Ovis aries: one gene and its partner. The protein of the gene in region 2 purifies or fractionates together with the protein of the main gene of each other region. This does not show direct contact. Links are inferred from orthologs where the notes say so. Each region holds a gene or a part of one and is shown on either strand. Other genes may lie near its edges.

Region 1 (3,741 bases), on a different chromosome or scaffold from region 2:
CAAAGTCTGATAAGTTGTCAAAACTTAGGATACGCATGTTGTCAATATTCATGTGGTAGGTGGTCCAAATTCAGCACAAAAATATGCTGCCCAAAGAAGTCTATACCTGTTGTGATGGTACTTTCTTGGGCTGAAGGTTAGAGGCTATTATCAGAATTTTGTTGAAATCTGTACCACTGTATAAAAACGGTATTGGTTCAGACCAAAAATATAGCATTTCCTAATGAAAAGACTAGAGATAATAAAAGAAAAGGGTGTATAAAAGGGAAAAGAAGAAGAAACAGTTACATTAACAGTTATAAAGTTATATTAACAAGAAAAATATACTGACATTTAGCACCTGATTATATGCCTTCAAAATGGTGAAAGACAACGATGGATCAGTGATAAAACTTACTCATATGGCAAAAAGTATTTCTCGACACAAAATAATAAAAGATGATACGGTTCCACAGCCAAACTCAGTCATCCACTTTGAAAAGTCGCAATTCACAACTGAAACCAAACACAGAGTCTCCTAGACATTTCACTGCCGTATCCTGAAATCCAGCCATCAGAGGAAATTCAAGGAAAACAACCCCAATTCAGAATACAAGGAGCCTGTCCTCTGAAAAAAAAATGAAGCACGTGGCTAGTGATTAGTAGTGAAAGAAAGCTAACTGATGAAACTTCGCATCCCATGACAAACTGTGAAAGCTGCAGTCATCATTTGCCTGGTGGAGTTAGCAGCTGTCTGTCTGTACTCCATTTCACTGAAAGGGAGAGAGCAAGAACACAGGAGCAATGAAGGCCAAAATCTGTTGCTGGGCTTCTGTTTCCACAGCTGGAGGCTGGGCACTTAACTATTCTATATACAGCAGCACAGCTTAGACACTCAAGTGGGCAGTGTTAAATTGCAGGGGTGTGCAACCTGACCATTAACAAGTCCCCCATCAGTTTCCCCTGGCCTTGGCCCTACAGGCCAATCTGCTTCAAAACACATTTCCTCCCAGCCCACAACTGTGGTTACCTCTGTTCACTCTTACTTAGTGGGACCAAAAGAAAAAAAAAAAAAAACAACCAACCCACAAAGACAATACATTATACAACCAGGGCCAGCCCTGTACAGCTAAAAGGTCATTAGGAAGAATGTGTCCAACCTGACATATGCTTAATTATGAAGAAACCAGACACGTTTAACCTGCGATTCTCTCACCTGGATTAGAACGGATTATTTTTTAAATGCCAGCGTTGTCACAGCCTGTATCTGCAAGCAGTTTTTTAACACATTTCCAATGTCAACATGCTGGGGCACGGCACATTAACTCAAAAAGTAACGACATCTTAAAAATTCTTTTTTTGAGAAGGGAGGGAAACGAGGGGGAAAGGGTTGTCCAGATTTTTCAAAACAGAGTTATGTGACTTTGAAGACCTAAGGCTACGATATTTTCTAAAATCGGCTAACTAGTTTCATGGACTTCTACCAAAGGCGGGACCACAAATCGTGGACCCAGAACCGGCCAAACACACTCAGTTACTCTGGCCCGAAGCAGGGAAAGTCCCAGAAGGGAGGAGGATGTTGTTTATTTTAATTCTGCTGCAGAATACGCCTGCTGGGCTAGAATCGGCCCCTTCCTCCTGCGGACACACGGCATCACAGGCTCACTTACCGGGGCGCCAGCTCCCGTGGAAGCCGGGCCGGCCGCGGCGGCGTCCTCCTCGGGACTCTGGGGGGCTTCCTCGGGCCCCCGAGTCACGAGGATTCTGAAGTGCTGCTGCCCCGCGTTTTGATCCTGCCTGATCTTAAACGTGCAGCCCTGGCCTTGTGGCGACCTCTCGGCCGCCGCATCGGTCCTGTGGGCATCGGGAGCCACCCTGCGGCCCCGCGGCGGCGCCTCCGGGTCTGGGTGGCCGTGCTCCTCCGGAGGACTCCCGCGCTCGGCCCGGGGCTGCGTGGGGTACGAGCTGCTCCTCTCCAGCCGGATTCGGGGATACCTCACCAACCTGTCCCCCTTGGTGCCGGTGAAGCCAAAGTTGAAGTCGCCGCCCGGTGCGGGCCCGCAGCCACCGGCTGGCGGCTGCTGCAGCTGGAAGACAAAACAGCGCTTCCCGGAGCTTCCAGAAGCGTCTGGAACGTGCTGCAGGGACCAGCGCCTGGGCTCGGGTGCTGCCGCCGCGGGGCCAGCCTGGCCCTCAGCCCCCGAGGGCGTCAGCTTCACCGGGCGCACATCGGCGCTGGACGCGCGGTGTTGGATGCGCACGGCTGGCGGCTCGGCCTCCTCGCGGCCGTCAGGGCCCGGCGCTCGGCGGCGGCCGCACGTGCCATTGAGCTGCGGGCCCGGAGCTCCGGGCCCCGCGGGAGGGGAGCCATCGCCGCTGCCGTCGTCGAGGCTCTTGGCCTCGGGGGGCTCCCCCAGCGGCTCCGTGCCCGCGTCGCCGTCGTCGGGGGCGCCGTCAGCCGCCTTGCGCTGCAGCGAGATCTGCACGGACGAGCTCCGCGTGGGCCGCGCGTCCACGGGGCCCAGCAGCTGCGGAATGAACATGGACGTGCTGCGCTTGAGCGCGCCCACGCCTCCCCGCAGGCCCGCGTCCTGCGCTCCGCTCGGGGCCAGCGCAACCGCGCCGCCCCGCCGCGGGAGCGTGTGGAATGCCATGAAAAAGTCGTCTTCTCCCTCCTGGTCTAGGATCTCCGACTCGGGGGCTGTGTTGCTGCGGCAGGAGCCAAAATGAAACCGAAGCCGATGGGCCATGGTGCCCAGAGGGCCAGGGAGGGACAGGGCGAGCAGCAACAACAGGCCCGGCGCTGCCAGCAGTCAAACCCCAAAGACACGAACTCCAAGGAAAAGCGTTCCATCTGCCAAAGCGTGAGCACTGCGGCACCAAGGGCGGCAGATAGCAGAAATAACCCAAGTGGCAAGCGGCATTCCAGGCATGATTGGATAAGAGCAGAAAGCTCTCATCCGCACTGTGACAGAGGGTAGGGTGGCCGGAACCACATGACCGCGGTCTCCCTCTCCAATGCCAGCTTCTGGACTTAGTGGAGTTTTCTTCCCCTTCTCGCTCTCATTTTTTTTTAAACAGCAAGAGCCTGAAACAGCACCTTCCCAGCTGCTGCTTTTCCATCAGACAGGAGTGGCCCCAGCGGGGAGCTCTCACAGCTGACTAAGGCAGCAAACACAGTCCGAGCTGTGCGGCTATAAATCTCAGCGCAGCGCGCTCACCGGACAGTTCTTTCCAAACCGAGCTGGGCACCCGGGCGCTGTCTCACCGATGCGGAGCAACTGGCACCCACGGCAGAAGCACACAGAGGAGCCCCCCTTCCCATCGAACCCGACAGTGACAAGTGACACTGCAGGGGCTGCAGGAAAAGCCTCTCAGGAGCAATCGGATGTTACGCGCCCCGCTTACATATGATATCACCACACTACCACGATGGAATGCAAACTAATAAAACGTACTATAAATACGATTACACACCCCACAGAATGCGTGTCCCTTTAACGCTAAATAATTAGACCATGATCTACAAGTAACAAAATAGCTGAGTGGAGGGAGGGGGGCGAACAACTTACTGCCAGTTGGGGTCTGCCTCTGGCTACCACGACATGTGTTTTATTTGAAAGATGGGGAGGGCGGGGGACGCAATCTCACACATAATATGATTCTCAGATACGGCAGTGCCAGAGGAAAGAAACCCAGCTGGAGAAAACATTCCCCCCTGTATGCCAGATAGGAGAAAAACCAACATCCCCCCACTCAAAA
Region 2 (3,741 bases):
CGGATTCTTTACCACTGAGCCAGCTGGGAAGTTCATCAAATATTCTCACCTGGAAACTCGCATTACTCTGCCTCACCTACCGCTTCCTCGTTTTTCCCTCAAATCTTCACAGTAGTAACAATCCTCCATAGAACTGCCTTTCTGATGGGAGAGTCCATGAAATAAAGCAGCCCAGGGTGCTCAGTCAAGACCTGGGAAGTGTCTCCCAGGTTGCGGGTCCCTGATGTGGTGGGCAGTTATTCCTCTGCCCGGGGCAACGTCCTAACAGAGGCCAGTTTTTTTCTGCTTGACACCCTTTCTCCCTGATGCCAGTCAACGTGCAGGGACTGAAATACCAGTGCTGGGTAGGGGACTCGAGTCCTTCTGATCCACCTGGACACCTTCGCCATTCAGGGGAGACAGGGCACCACAGCAGCCGTGTCCAGAGGGCGAGGAGGACGAGAAAGCGGTTCTCCAAGGCCTCTCCCCTGACCTGCCCAAGCAGCCCTGGGCAGCGGCGCCTGCAGGAACTCCCACGTCCTCCGGAGCACACGGCGCCCCAGCGGGCCAGATGCTGACCCACGAGGGCCCGAACGCTCCCGTTTGGCCTGCAGAGTTCACTGGCCCTGTGGGCACCGACCCGACCGCGTTCTCTCCCTGCAGCGTGCGCTGGGGCGCCCAGGGGGGCCCAGATAGTTCACGGGGCCTCGCCGCCATCCTCCCGGTGAGCCCTTCCTCCCCGTTACCCTCTGTGGAGGGACTCAGAGCCAGTGAAGAGGGTGTCCACGCCCCACTCCGTCCTCCTGCCCAAGCAGTTCGCGGTGCCGGCACCCTGCGGACCTCGCGCCGCCCCTGCTGGCTTATGTAGGAGCTTCGCGCAGGCCGCGCAGGTGGGCTTGGCGTTTGCGAGCACGTGGGCGCAGGCGGGCGGAGAAGCGAGGAGCGCGGGATGGAGCGGGCCGAGCAGGTGGGGAGGGCGGGCCGAGCAGGTGAACGCTGCAGGGGCGGGCCGAGCAGGTGGGCGCAGACGGGGCGGGGCCGGCCGGGCGCGCCGGGGCGCCGGGCGCGCACAGGTTGGTGCGGGGCGGGGCGTCCGGCCTGGGGCGGGGCTCGCCCACCCCCGGCCCGGCCCCCGGCGCCGGCCCCGCCCCCCACGCCCGGCCCGGCGGACAGCGGCCCCGGCGGGGCTGGCGGCAGCGGTCTCCCGCACGCGCCCGGGCGCCCGCCGCTGCCGCAGCTCCTGCCGCCCACCGCGGGCCCTGCCTGGCCATGGCCGCGGCCACCTCCCCTCCCAGGGCGGAGAGGAAGCGCTGGGGCGGCGGCCGCTTGCCGGGAGCCCGGCGGGGCAGCGCGGGCCTGGCCAAGAAGTGCCCCTTCTCGCTGGAGCTGGCCGAGGGCAGCCCCGCAGGCAGCGCGCTCTACGCGCCCATCGCCCCGCCTGGCGCCCCGGGCCCCGCGCCCCCCGCCGCCGCCGCCGACCTCGGCCCGCGGCCGCCCGTGAGCCTGGACCCGCGCGTCTCCATCTACAGCGCGCGCCGCCCGCTGCTCGCCCGCACTCACGTCCAGGGCCGCGTGTACAACTTCCTCGAGCGCCCCACCGGCTGGAAGTGCTTCGTCTACCACTTCGCAGTGTGAGTGTCGCCGGCGGCCGGCGCGGGGAAGGGCTTTCCGCGGGGCTGGGGAGGGCGCGCGGGCAGCGAAGTCCCCGTGCCACCTGCTGCCGGAGGGACCTTGCCGGAGCGGCGGGTCTAAGCCGGGAGGGAAGGGCAGGGTTAACGGGAAAGATCGCGGCAGCGGGGAGCCTGTCAGGTGAAGCTCAGGGCCCTGTGGGTCTGTCCCTGCGCCGGTGCGGAGCTCCCCGCTGGTGCTGCCCGGGCATGTGTGTGGGTGGCAGAGCCAGCTGGGAGCAATGCCCGTGCTCGGGGCTGGTCTGCTGGGCCCCGCAGGGCTGGCCCAGGTGTTAATCCTTGCGAGAGAGCACGTTTGCAGGGGAGAGAACTCTGGGGGGCTGAGAAACAAGAGAAGACAGGGTCCCGGTGCCCCCCAACAGGGGTGGTCTCCCCGGTCAGCAGAGCAGGGCTTTGGCAGACGGTGGCCGGCCTTGTGCTTTGGCTGAGGCGTCAGCATGGCTGAGGGGGGTGCCCATGGCCCCACGTGACCCTGACCCGGCTCCTAGAAATCTGGGTTGAGGCAGAGGGGCCTGGAGGGGTCAGGGCTGGGGCGAGAGGAGAGAGAGGGGCCCTGACTCTGCTGGTTGGTGGTGGATCAGAGGAAGCCGTGCGCCAGGCCAGAGCCGGGTCCTATTGGCGGCACCTGGCCCTACTCCTGCCTGGCCCAGCCTGGTTGGTGGCCTCTCCGTGTGGTGCCGGCCTCAGAGCCTGGGCTTGGCATCTCTGGGCTGCTCTGGGGGCTGCCCAGAGGGACCTCCCCTGATCTCCCATCGGTCGAGGCGGGTGCTTGGCCCTCCCACCTTGGCTGGCCTGGGGCTGGGAGACCCCTGGCTGCAGGGTGCCCATGGCTGTCCCTGGAACCCCAGGGAGCAGAGGGGCGGCTGTGAAGCAGGGTCTCGGTGGGCGCGGCGAGGTGGGGGGCACAGCCTGCATCCCTCACCTTCTCCCCTCCGAGCTCAGGGGGTACTAGGGGTGCGGGCAGGGTGGCCCTTCTGGAGCAGCAGGGCCAAGCCTGGAGACAGTGTCCTCAGAGGCACAGAGGGGCCACGGTCCTCCAGCCTTTGCCCCAGCCCCCTTTCCCGCCTCCCACGGGGGCAGAGGGGGCCTAGCCATGGCCATGGCCATCTGCGGAGAGGGTGGCCTTGCCCTTGGCTGCAGCGGCAGAGGCTTGCCTTGGGGTTTGGGGGTGTGTGTGTGCACCGGCACTGGGGGCCCGCGCCCCGCCTGATGCTGGCTATGTGAGCACCCGCCAACAGCAGGCTCATGGGAGCTGCCGTGCACTGCCGTCAGCTGCTGGGCCCCAAGATCCCGAGGTGCCCACCGTGTGGGAGCCCACAGCCGGTCCCGAAGCAGACCCTGCCCAGCCGCCTCTCTGGCCGGGACCCTGCGTGCCAGCTCCGGGCACAGATGGGAGGACCAGGCAGAGCACTGCTTAGGGGTCAGCAGTGCCCCCACATCCCCCGAGGGCTGCTGAGTGAGGGGCCTGCAGACACGCCACTGGTTCACATCCCGGGGTCACAGGCCCGGGGGCGCTCGCCTCGCCCCAGCTCCCTGGCGGCCGCGGTGCCTTGTGGAGGAAGAGGGCCCGCCGCACCCCAGAGGAAGTCGCTGCTTGCACTTGTGTTTTCTTCCTGATTCCGATTGTTTAGCTCTCGGAAGTTTGCTCAGCTCGGTCTGCCTTGCCCAGCCTCCCCAGGAGCTGTAGGGCCGGGGTGGCTTCTGCGGACCGTGGTGGCCTCTGGAGACAGTGGCCCAGCGGCTTCCCTGTGTGGGGAAGAGGAGCTGGGGAGGCGAGGCCCTGTGGGTGGGCTGGTGACCTTGGGCCAGTCTTCCCGCTCGCGTCCCTGTCCATAAGAGGCGGGTGCAGCCCCCCACTCAGGGTGTACAGCCCCCCACGCAGGATGTGCAGCCCCACGCAGGGTGTGCAGCCCCCCACGCAGGGTGTGCAGCCCCCCATGCAGGGTGGGGCTGCAGGTGGACTCTGGCTGGGCAGGGGATGTGGCTTCCCTGGGGCCTGGGAAGGTGTCCTCTCGTCTCTAGGAGATAGGCAAAAGCCACGGGATACTCTGAATTGGCCAGTCTCTCGAAGGCA

The links.
Region 1: the proteins of KCNQ1 (region 2) and NEDD4L purify together in Homo sapiens (affinity purification with western blotting, with the first as the bait; 3 studies listed by BioGRID). This does not show direct contact. The link is inferred for Ovis aries from reciprocal best matches to the Homo sapiens genes KCNQ1 and NEDD4L.

The regions. Positions count from the first base shown.
Region 1 is NC_056076.1:57,724,753-57,728,493, reverse strand, and holds the start of NEDD4L (E3 ubiquitin-protein ligase NEDD4-like), read right to left. Parts: upstream 2,855-3,741; 5' UTR 2,730-2,854; coding exon 1,650-2,729; intron 1-1,649. UniProt on the Homo sapiens protein: E3 ubiquitin-protein ligase that mediates the polyubiquitination of lysine and cysteine residues on target proteins and is thereby implicated in the regulation of various signaling pathways including autophagy, innate immunity or DNA repair.
Region 2 is NC_056074.1:45,517,388-45,521,128, reverse strand, and holds the start of KCNQ1 (potassium voltage-gated channel subfamily KQT member 1), read left to right. Parts: upstream 1-1,146; 5' UTR 1,147-1,248; coding exon 1,249-1,610; intron 1,611-3,741. UniProt on the Homo sapiens protein: Pore-forming subunit of the voltage-gated potassium (Kv) channel involved in the regulation of cardiomyocyte excitability and important in normal development and functions of myocardium, inner ear, stomach and colon.